2 linked regions of the Caenorhabditis elegans genome follow. The protein of the gene in region 1 purifies or fractionates together with the protein of each later gene. This does not show direct contact. Each region holds a gene or a part of one and is shown in the gene's direction. Other genes may lie near its edges.

The links.
Region 2: the proteins of pfut-1 (region 1) and mak-2 fractionate together in Caenorhabditis elegans (co-fractionation; one large-scale study listed by BioGRID). This does not show direct contact.

Annotation. Positions count from the first base shown.
Region 1 is NC_003284.9:3,163,631-3,168,103, forward strand, and holds pfut-1 (GDP-fucose protein O-fucosyltransferase 1), read left to right. Parts: upstream 1-2,197; 5' UTR 2,198-2,222; coding exon 2,223-2,337; intron 2,338-2,552; coding exon 2,553-2,662; intron 2,663-2,719; coding exon 2,720-2,843; intron 2,844-2,885; coding exon 2,886-3,271; intron 3,272-3,317; coding exon 3,318-3,455; intron 3,456-3,499; coding exon 3,500-3,601; intron 3,602-3,662; exon of another isoform or gene 3,663-3,667; coding exon 3,668-3,862; 3' UTR 3,863-3,949; downstream 3,950-4,473. Other genes in the region: gcc-1 (GRIP domain-containing protein), read left to right, coding at 183-301, 355-527; syx-6 (Putative syntaxin 6), read left to right, coding at 907-999, 1,060-1,166, 1,220-1,314, 1,667-1,740; C15C7.6 (Glycoprotein), read right to left, coding at 3,986-4,252, 4,301-4,465. UniProt on the Caenorhabditis elegans protein: Catalyzes the reaction that attaches fucose through an O-glycosidic linkage to a conserved serine or threonine residue found in the consensus sequence C2-X(4,5)-[S/T]-C3 of EGF domains, where C2 and C3 are the second and third conserved cysteines.
Region 2 is NC_003282.8:883,713-890,881, forward strand, and holds mak-2 (MAP kinase-activated protein kinase mak-2), read left to right. Parts: upstream 1-1,633; 5' UTR 1,634-1,709; intron 1,710-2,783; 5' UTR 2,784-2,850; coding exon 2,851-2,901; intron 2,902-3,576; coding exon 3,577-3,956; intron 3,957-4,360; coding exon 4,361-4,549; intron 4,550-4,600; coding exon 4,601-4,725; intron 4,726-4,845; coding exon 4,846-5,132; intron 5,133-6,113; coding exon 6,114-6,182; 3' UTR 6,183-6,488; downstream 6,489-7,169.

The DNA of each region.
Region 1 (4,473 bases):
TTTTTCTATCAAATTGTCTTTTTTTTTAATAAATGGAAAATCTTATTGGAAAATATTTTTAGGGAAAGCATACTTCACCAAGTTAAGTGACTAGCCCCCAAATTAAAAAAAAAACTCTTATTCCACAGTTGTTAACCCCATTTGAAACATCTGAAACTTTGCATTTATTAATCTGATTTCAGACGGCAACTTATGGATGTTGAGATACGTCTCCGAGAAAACGAGTCTGTATCAATGTCCCGCCAACTTGAATCAGTTGCTCACAATGAAGAAATGACGGAGAAGGTTCGAGTGTTAGAAGGTACGACTTTGAGATTTTATTATATCATAATCATACCTCCTGTTTTTTTTCAGGAAAACTTCAAATGTTATCGTCGACAAGCGAAATCGACTACCTCCGCAATATTTTCACCCAATTCCTGCATTCGATGGGATCGCCGAATGCCGCCAGCAAGGCCATCTTGAAAGCAATGGGCAGCGTGCTTAAAGTTCCCATGGCCGAGATGAAAATTATTGATAAAAAATAGGGAGCGATGCTTATCACGAAATTGAGAAAGACGAAACTTTTTTTTTTCCTCGTTTTTTTTTGTTCGCCTATTGTGTGTAGATATACCATTCGTTATCAAGAAAAGAAACTGTATAGCTCGCGGGTTAAATTTCTGTCTTCTTGGTGTATTCATTTTCTGGTTCATATCACATTTTCCTCTACTGTGACTATAATTTTTTGTACCATTTTTTCCATTGTCGCTTCGTTATTGGAATTGTAATTTGTCTAATCAGAAACGTTTTTTTTCAAATATTTTCTTTCGTTTGACGTTAGAGGTTTCACACCTCTCAATATACTTTTTTTCTACCAGAAGCTGATTTTCTAAGTAAAAGGATTAATTTCTTCAGTTAATAGTGAAAATGAGCAACTACCGATACTCAAAACTCAACGAAGAAGAGATCTCATTGGAGGATATGCCATCCTCGGCTAACCAAATTCTGACTCGGCAAGAAGTAAGTTTTAGTACTAAAATTCAATGAAGAAATGATGTGATAATGAAGAAATGATTTCAGCAAATAATTCAAGAACAAGACGATGAACTGGAGCTCGTCGGAAATTCGGTGCGAACGTTGAGAGGAATGAGTTCGATGATAGGCGACGAATTGGATCAGCAATCTACGTAAGTTGACCAGCTTATTTCAACTTAGAAATATTAAAATTTTGCGATTTCAGAATGCTAGACGATTTAGGACAAGAAATGGAGTACTCGGAAACTCGACTGGACACTGCTATGAAGAAAATGGCAAAGCTGACGCACCTGGAGGATGGTATGTTGCTGGCCCGTAGAATGTAAACGATTTTGTTTATGTTAGCACCGGAAGCTAGGAAGCAAAGTGTATCATCGAACACATAGCGCCTCCTCGTTTTCAATCAGAAAACATCCAATACTTTCACAAGATGCAGCGTTTCCAGCAGGAAGCTACTTTGAAACTTTCACCAACTTCTTTCTATTCTATTGAAAATGAGCATAATGAGTTATTCAATGCATGCAGTCCTCACACGTTGCGCACGGCACCGTTAGCCTGCATTTTGAAGCAGTGCTCACGAGACCCAGGTTCCATAGTCACCGGAAACATTCCCCCCGTCACTTTCTTCTATTCAACAACCTATTCATTGCAGAGTCCAGTCAATGCAAAATGATCATGGTGCTCTCAGCTCTCCTGTTTTTCCTCGTCTTTGTCCTTCTGGTCTGACGACGTACGTGCCATATATAGTTGACTTCTCTTCTCTCACATTTCATATTTTTATTATTATCATTATTATTATTATCGATTTTTGCTCCCAGTCTCAATCCAAAGGTACATAGTACATTCCTTCCCCACTGTTAGACAAATGACAAGTCTGTAGATCAGAACTACTTCTGGGCTTTTTTTTCTCTTTTTTCTCTTTTTTTAAAGTCTTTTTTCCCATGTTCGTATCCGTATCGGGTGTGAAAACTAATATTTTATATTTTTATATAAATGAATATTTTCAACATTATTTTAAATTACATTGTGTCTTGTTGTGCCAAAAAAAGTGCCTCGCCTTGTCAAACTATCTTGGAAAGTAATGTCATTATCGATTAAAGGCACGGCTGTGCAAATACATTGAACACGTTTACAATATTTCTTATCTTTCTTTCTGACTTTCCAAATAAAATTATACTTTTAGATGGTTGTGCCAAATTTATAATACAATGAGAGTGTCAAAAGTATTAACGTTGGCTAGTTTCATATCAGTCTGCTCGTATTCAGAAGCAAAATCCAACGAAACTGATCCGAATGGATATATTGTGTTTTGTCCGTGCATGGGTGAGTGTTTGCATGCATTTTTGTGGTTAAAAGTAGAATTGAAAAATATATGAAAACTCCTCGAGAAAAAGAAAAAAGTACATTTTTGGAATATTCGGTAATTTGCCAAAGTATTTAAAAAAAAAAGCTAAACTCTTTAGGATAGTATTGTGATATTTGGTTATATACTAAATCCCCACTGATGATACTCCTGTAAATCTACAGAATTATTTCAGGTAGATTTGGCAACCAAGTTGACCAATTTCTCGGTGTTCTTGCATTTGCAAAAGCTCTCGATAGAACACTAGTACTACCCAATTTCATCGAATTCAAGCATCCTGAAACGGTGAGCAAAAAATAACTTTGTTATAATTTTGTGATAATAGTTTTTCAAAAAATTCAGAAGATGATTCCGTTTGAATTCTTGTTTCAAGTGGGCACAGTCGCAAAGTACACCCGAGTAGTCACCATGCAAGAATTCACAAAAAAGATCATGCCAACAGTGTGGCCCCCAGAAAAGCGGAAAGGTACAGTTTCTGTTTTGCCATCATTCAACAATGTTTTTCTAGCATTTTGTTGGACTCCGCGTCAAGCGATCTACGATAAATCTGCAGAACCAGGATGCCATTCGAAAGAGGGTAACCCCTTTGGACCTTATTGGGATCAAATTGATGTTTCATTTGTTGGCGATGAGTATTTCGGAGATATTCCTGGAGGATTCGATTTGAATCAAATGGGAAGCAGAAAGAAATGGCTAGAAAAGTTTCCGTCGGAAGAGTACCCCGTTTTGGCATTTTCCAGTGCTCCAGCTCCATTTCCTTCCAAAGGAAAAGTCTGGTCTATTCAGAAATATTTAAGATGGTCCTCACGAATTACCGAACAAGCCAAGAAATTCATTTCGGCCAACTTGGCAAAACCTTTTGTCGCTGTTCATTTAAGGAATGACGCTGATTGGGTAAGATTTTGCGATGTACATCTAATTTGTTCACATCTACATTTAGGTACGAGTTTGTGAGCACATTGATACAACTACGAATCGGCCATTGTTTGCCTCGGAACAGTGTCTTGGCGAGGGGCATCATCTGGGCACACTTACCAAAGAAATATGCTCACCGAGCAAACAACAAATTTTAGAGCAGGTTTGCTAATACAAAATATGTAGTTTCATGTTTTCTCATATCAGATCGTTGAAAAAGTGGGATCAATTGGAGCAAAGTCGGTGTTCGTAGCAAGCGACAAAGATCATATGATAGATGAAATAAACGAGGCTTTGAAGCCATATGAGGTAATTTTTTTAAAACTGTTTTATTTACTTTTTATTAAGTCGTAGTGCAATTTGAGTTCATTATAGATCGAAGCTCATCGTCAAGAACCTGATGACATGTACACATCACTTGCCATCATGGGAAGGGCTGACTTGTTTGTTGGAAATTGCGTCTCCACATTTTCACATATTGTAAAACGAGAACGAGATCATGCTGGACAATCTCCAAGACCTTCTGCATTTTTTGGAATCCGGGCGGTCAAAAGACATATCGATTTGTGATCTAATATTTTCTACTTAGATCTCCAAAAGTTTGTGATACACTAACAATTGTAACTTTATTATTACTTAATAAAACAACTAGTCATGTAAGTTAACAACGATAAAAACATAATTAAAATATAATTATTGAATAATAGTGACCTTATTGTTAGAATACAGAACCACTGGGAGTGATTGGAAATTCTTTTTGCGCAATGTAATGCTGACTCCAGCAATGGTCACAGTAACAAGAAAAACAATAGTAAGAAGGATGATTATTAACATCAAGTTTCTGTCGAGGAACTGTGAGAACTCTGATTTGAGAAGTGCACGATGCCTGAGGACCTCTTCAGTGTTTCCATAATTGGCTTCCAGTTTATCGAGATCTTCATGGCTCACTGGGAGGTGGTCCTAAATAAACATGTTTTGTTGTTAATTTTAATAAGAATTTCAACTCACCGCCTCTGTGTTAACTGCAAAATGATCGAACGCATTAAGTGATTTTCCAAAAACTTTGACGTTATTGAATTTTGCATACGAACCAATTGGGAGCAATAAAGAAACGTGCTGCGAGATGCCCATTTGATGAGTTGAATAATGTCCATGAATCATTGTTTGATAAGCCTGAGACG
Region 2 (7,169 bases), on another chromosome or scaffold:
TCACTATTTTCTTATCAAATTCCGTGTTTTTCTCAATTGTTTTGTTTTTTTTCGCTCTTCCTTATCCTCCAGGAATTTTCAGTTGAAAATTGGAAAATTGGCTGAGTAGCGGCTCAGGTAGAGCTTCCAAGATGATTTTTGTAAATTTTTAATTCTATATTTGAAGTCTACTCTAGAAATTACATATATCCCTACATTTTCAGCTTCGTATCTCAACTTCCACGTATTGGCTGAGTAGCGACCCAGCTGCAGTGTGGGGATACGGAGTTTTGTCAGTTCGAGTGGGAAATGGCTGAAATTTTTGGGTCAGATAGATTGTAACATGCTGAATTTGAAAATAATAATGAAAATATTCAAAAACTCAAAAATTTGAGAAAGAAATCAGAAGAAAAGTAAAGTAATTCAACTCTGTGACACTAAAAATCAAGATTCTATTTCAAATTTAAAGTTTTCTTTTTTTAAAATTTCAGCATCACTTTCATATTCTACACAAATAACTATATATATATATCTAAAAGTTTTCAGCTACGCATTCCAATTTTCACATATTTTCTGAGTAGCGACCTAATACACTGGGGATACGGAGTTTTGTCAGTTTTAGTGGTGATTGGCTGAAAAATAAAATTTTTGAAATTATTGGGTAAAATGTTAAAAAATAACCCAATTACAAAATTTGGAAAACACCAAAATTTCCAAATTTTTTTCCAATAAAAAATAAATTTGGATTTTTTTTGACAAACATTTTTTTATAAATTTTCTGCCGTTTTCCACAAAATTTCCAACATTCGTGTTTAAAATTAAATTCTAGTTATTTTTCTTAAATACCCCAAAAATTTCAGCTCCGTATCCTAATTTTAACACATTCGCTGAGTAGCGACCTAAAGCAGTATGGGGATACGGTGATTTGTTGGTTTTACTATTAGTGGTAAATAGCTGAACATTTTTCTTAGAAAATGTGAATTTTTAGTAAAAAAATCAAAATTATCACGAAATTTTAATGGGAACATTATTTTTGGCAAAACGATTTTTTTTTCAAAAAAATTTCCAGAAAAGACAAAAATTTTCCAATATTTTTTAAAGTCAGTTACATTCAATTTCCGCATTAACTCCTATCACCGTTATCACCGCACCGCAAGTTGCGTCCCGCAACCCCATACACCACCTCCCAGCTCCCCTGCCAATGCAAACGCGCTCGAATGCAAATTAGGGTTCTCTGCGTCTCCACAGCAGGTTATGATGGCGTTTCGTAAGTATTCATCTCACGATTTGACATTGTTTCTATTGATTCTTGATTTTATGCGAGAAACCTGAGATTTTCATGTGAAAATCATGGAAAACCTGGATTTTTTAAACTGAAAATTGGTTTTTTAATCGAAAATTAACGAAAATCCAGTTTTTATTCTGGAATTTTCCAAAAAAAAAAAGTATTTAACATGAATAGTTACATTTGATTTATTTTGTGCAATGCTTTAAAAAAATTCCTGCAAAACAATTTGTTAAAAAAATATTAGACAAAACTCTAAAAAAATTTTTTTTTTTGCATTTCTCCCACTTTATTTATTTTTAACGCACAGTCTGAATTATTTTATCGATTTCCTCCTAAAATTTCCAAAATTTACTTCAATTTTTCCAGATTTTTCGCCGAAGAATCTCCTTGGCCCCAGCTCACTGATATTTCGGGTTTTTTTCGGAGGATTTTTATACGCTAAGTAAGTTTTTTTTTGCTAAATTGTGTTTTGTCCTGATACGTGTCAATTGAAAAAAAAAATTTCAAAAAATCTGGCAAAAATAGTTTTTCAAAATTTCAAATTTTAAGACTTTCAGCATCCAAATTTATAATTTATGTTGTTTAATACGAGCATACCAAAAATTTTGGAAATTTCCCATCAAAACTGACGAAACTCCGTATCGTCCACACTGTAGCTAGGTCGCTGCTCTGCCAATTTGTGAAAATTATCAAAAATAGTCAGAGTTTGTCTAAAGCTCAAAATTTCGGCACATTCTAGCAATTTTTGAGGTGTTTCCGGTAACTTTTTTAAAATTTCGATATAATCTTCAAATTCCACACAATTTAATACGTATATCCCGAAACTTTCAGCTCCGTACCTCAATTTTCAAATATTGGCTGAGTAGCGACTTAAAACACTTGGGATACGGAGTTTTGTCAGTTTTTGTGGGAAATGGCTGAAAATTTTGGGTCAGATAGACAAAAACGTGCTGAATTTGAGAATAACAGTAAAAATATTAAAAAACTAAAAAATGGAGAAAAATAAGGAGAAAAAGAAAACCAACTCTGTGCCACCAAAAACCAAGATTCCACTTGAATTTTTCAGTTTTCTAAAACATTTTTCCAATATTTTAATATTAACTTCAAATTCTACACAAATTAATATCTATATCCCGAAGTTTTCAGACCCGTATCTCAATTTCCACATATTGGCTGAATAGCGACCCAATACAGTGTGGGGGATACGGAGTTTTGTCAGTTTTAGTGGGAATTTGCTGAAAATTTAGTTACTTGGAAATCGAAATACTCCAAATTCAAAAACTAAACAAAGATTTGATACCGCCAGTGTTTTGCCCGCAAATCGCCTAATTTTTGCCGCCTCAGCTAATTTTTCACTACCAAACTAAACCAATCATACTAAAATCGAATATTCGCATGAAAGTTGTCCTGCTTCAGTTTCCCTACTATATGTCTAATCCTCTCACCCTCTAATCACTTTCAGCGTGAAGCTTGAAGCTCCCGAAGCACAAAAATCAACACGTGGCTCGTTTTTCAGCAGAATTGGGTGCTGTCTGTCAACGAAAAGTAGTCCAGCGGAGAAGATAAAGCCGCCGGACGAAATTATGGCTTTTCATGAGTATCCTGTTACTCAGGACTATCGAATTAGTCGGAAGGTAGGGGAAAATTGAGATTTTGGATGTTTTTTTTTTGAATTAGAAATTTAGAGGATATTTATACATTAATTTTTTTCTTGAAAAAGACTTGAAAACCTCCGAAAAAGGACTAGGGTCTTCCTAGTTTTAAGACTGCTTTAGAGAAAAACTGAATTATCTCAGAAACTAAAAAAGATTTCGAAAAATTTTAACTAATAAGTTGTGCCAAATTAAATTTTCAAAATTTTATTAGTTCACAGTTTTTAAATAGCTTCAAAACTCGGTGAGCTACAAGAATTTTTAAATCAAAACTATTTGTTCCAACTTGCCAACTTGCTAGAAAAAAGTTTTCAACAAAAACATATTAAAATTACATTTTTCATATTTTGTAAGTTAACAGTGTGTAGATATTAGGGCTTTTATTATAGACAGGCGTGGTATGAGGGCCTGCCTGTAACCTGCCCGCCTACCTTTCGCTTCTTTTCTGCACTTTGTCGTAAAGTTTACAGTTTACATTTCAAATCTTCATTTTGTTGAAAATCAAATTAAGAAATGAAAAAAAAAGTTAAGGTATGTTTTAGCATAAAGCGCGTATTGAGGCGAGAGCTAGGCGGAGGTCGTTTTGAGGTCAGGCAGGTAGGCGTTTTAACGCCTACATGAAAGCTCTCCAACTAACTAATGTTCTTTTTTTTACAGGTTCTCGGCGTAGGAATCAACGGAAAAGTTGTGGAATGTGAGCACCGCCAGTCGGGCGACAAATTCGCGCTAAAAGTGCTCCGAGACACACAGAAAGCTCGTCGAGAAGTCGAACTTCACGTGATGGCTTCAGGACACGGCCACGTGGTTTCAGTGCACGATGTGTACAAGAATTCATATAACGGAGTCGATTGTCTGCTCGTTGTGATGGAAAATATGAAGGGTGGAGAGCTGTTCAATCGGATTCAGGAGCGAGGTCAGAAGGCGTTTACCGAGAGAGAAGCTGCTGGAATTGTTAACGAAATTTGCTCGGCGGTTGCTCATTTGCATCGAATGAGCATTGCGCATAGGGATCTGAAACCGGAGAATTTACTTTATGTGTGAGTTTTTTAGAACTACTTGGCTAGGAAAAACGTGCACAAATTTAAATTGCTATACTTCACAAGTTTATAACTTTTTAATATCCTTCAAACTCGGAAGATTGAAAGAATTTTTTTCAGATTTTTCCCCAAAAAGTTGAAGGTTTGTAATTCGAAAATGTTCCCAGCCTAAGCGTAAGCCTATGTAGGCCTAAGCCCAAATCTAAGCCAAAGCCTACGCCTAAGCCTAAGCCTGAGTCTGAGTCGAAGTCTAAGCCTAATAGTAAGACTAAGCGTATGACTAAGTCTATGCCTAAGCCTAAGCTTAAGCCTAAGCCTAAGTCTAGCCTAGTCCTACGCCTAAGCCTAAGCCTAAGCCTCATTGTCAGCCGACGCCCAAAATCTACAAATTATCAATTTTGCAGCACCACAGCTTCCAACGCCGCTCTGAAACTCACAGATTTCGGATTCGCCAAAAAAACAGATGAATCGGAACCCCAAGGCCTAAAAACGGCGTGCTTCACCCCTTACTATTGTGCTCCGGAAGTGCTCGGCACCGAAAAATATGATAAATCTTGTGATTTATGGTCGATCGGAGTTATTATGTATATTTTGTGAGTTAAACAATGAGTTTTTCTGTATACATAAAAATCATATAATTTCAGACTGTGCGGCTACCCACCATTTTACTCTCAACACGGACAACCAATGTCACCTGGAATGAAGGCGAAAATCAAGTCAGGACAGTACACATTTCCGAGTCCCGAATGGGATTGTGTTTCTGAAGCAGGTAAGAGTTAAATTTGGAAAAAATCAAATTTTTCGTCTAAATTTCTCTTCTCAGAAAGTTTAAATTTCCGCCTAAATTACCCGCTAAAACTTTGTTTTCATAAAATATAATTATTTGCAGCCAAAGACCTAATCCGAAAGCTTCTCCGAACTGAGCCCACTGAACGTATCACAATTGAGCAGACAATGGAGCACAAGTGGATATCTCATTACCGTAGAGTTCCAGATACTCCATTATTCACAAGTTCAAATCTGAACGATCAACGGGAACAATGGACGGATATGCAGGATGAAATGGAGGCTACATTGGCCTCAATGAGAGTTGGTCCTGAAAATATTCAGATTAAAAGCCTTGGAGACTCGAATAATAAGCTTTTGGCGAAGAGGAGAAAAGGTGGAGCTAGTCCGGTAAGGGAGTTAGGATTTTAAAAAAGTTTTTGTAGAACAAAAAATTCAAAAAAAATTTAATGAAAAATTTAAATAATTTTTTCTGACACTTTTTTCATTATTCTAGAAAAATAATTTTTAGAAGAAGTGAAGCACCTGAAATTCACTAAAAATGCAAATATATTTTTTGAAAAAAGTTGAAAATTTTTCTTTTTTTTTTAAATTTAGTAAGTCCCTAAAATTTGTGTATCTATCAGTGCAAATTTGAAATTATACTACTATTTTGTTCAATTAAACGCCTCAATTTTTTTTTTGAAAAAATTGTTAAATTTTGTACGTTTTTAAGAAAGCAGGTAACTATAATAAAACAGGAAAGTTTTTGAAATGTATGTTGAAAAAAAAACGTTTAAAAAAATGAAAAGTCAAAAAAAAATTCGGAAAAAATGTATGATTTTTTTGGAAAATTAGTTTATTAAAGAACACGTTTTTTTTCAATTTTACAAATTTTTTTCAAAATTTTAACTGAACAAAAAAGAAATCTATCTGAAAAATTTAAGCCTCACACACTCTGCTACAGGTTCCTCTTTATTTCAAAAAGCCGATTAATTTATAGAGTTTTCTAAAATTAAAAGTATATCGAAAACTAATAAAGATATTAAAAAGTTGTAAACTGACAAAATAATGTACGCAAAATTTGCTGCAGTTTGTTAGTTGACAACTTTTTGATATCATAGTTACCCGAGGAGATACGAGAGTTTTAATTTGAGAGGCCAGAGATCAGGCTTTTCCTTGCTTAAAACACTCGTAACTCTGCACTGTAAAGATATCAAAAAGTTGTACACTGACAAAATGAAATTCGTATAATTTCCCATTTTTTATCAGCTCGCCAAGATACAAGTATTTCAAAAAATTAGGGCAAAACAATTTTTTCGAGTGTGCGAGAGATAATTAGAAATATATTATTTAAAAAAAAATTAGAATTAAATTTTTCTCAATTTTCAGAAAGACGATCCCATGGACGATATCAAGGAGGAGGAAAAGGACGATGAAGAGGAAAAAATGATTTCCTAGAAATTTATAAAATTCTCAAAAATTCCCAATACTCCCAAAAACCGAAAAATGTTTTCCCCCAAAAATTGTGATTCTCTCTTTCATGTTTTTCTAATCAATCAAAAGTGCACAAATAACCATTATGTGGACGGTCCTCCCAGTAAACCCCGCCCCTTTCCTCTCTCGAGTACTCACAGGTGTCTGATGCTCAGTTGCTCCTTCCATCCAAAAATGTTTCTTTTTTCTAGTAATTTGTTACATAGATTTGTCTGGTTTCCTTTTTCGATCGGTCGCAATAAATGTATTTTATTTTATTTTTGAAAATTGAAAAAAAAAATAGACTCTTTTGCATTTTTAACAACGTTTTCTACTATATCACACTTAGAGCTTGAAGATGAGTATAAGAATGAAATAATTTGCTTGAAATTAAATAATATTGGGTCTCGTAGCGAAATCTCCGGGGTTACTGTAGTTTTCATGGTGGGACCCTATGGTTCATATCATCAACGAGTTACGTGAAAAGTATTGTTTAATGCATCTCAGAGTTCAACCACGATACTGAAATTGATATGTCTTGAATGAATAAATAATTGTGTACAGACCACTGCAGTAACTGTTTCAGAAAATGACACTAACACCAAAAGAAGATTACTGACGACATTAAGAGGTGCTTCTCGAAAAACAGTTGTTTGTGTCATAAAATCACGCCTGCTACAAAATTTTTTGTCGTTCTAGAAAACACTGATAAGCTAGAGCAAAAAAGGCATACGACGAATATTTTCTCACTTTTTCTGATCCTCTTACATCACCTCTTTTTCATTATTATTTTTGAGTAAGGCATGGAAAAATTGAAGCCACTTTCCTATTTAAGTACTAAATCTATTATACATTATATTGATCCGATTTTACGGTAATTTTTTAGAGTTTTTGAAAATAACTAAGACTATTTAGTGTTTTAATTTGTTTAATGCTTTCTGTGCCTTCATATCAGCTACGAGTTACGTGAAA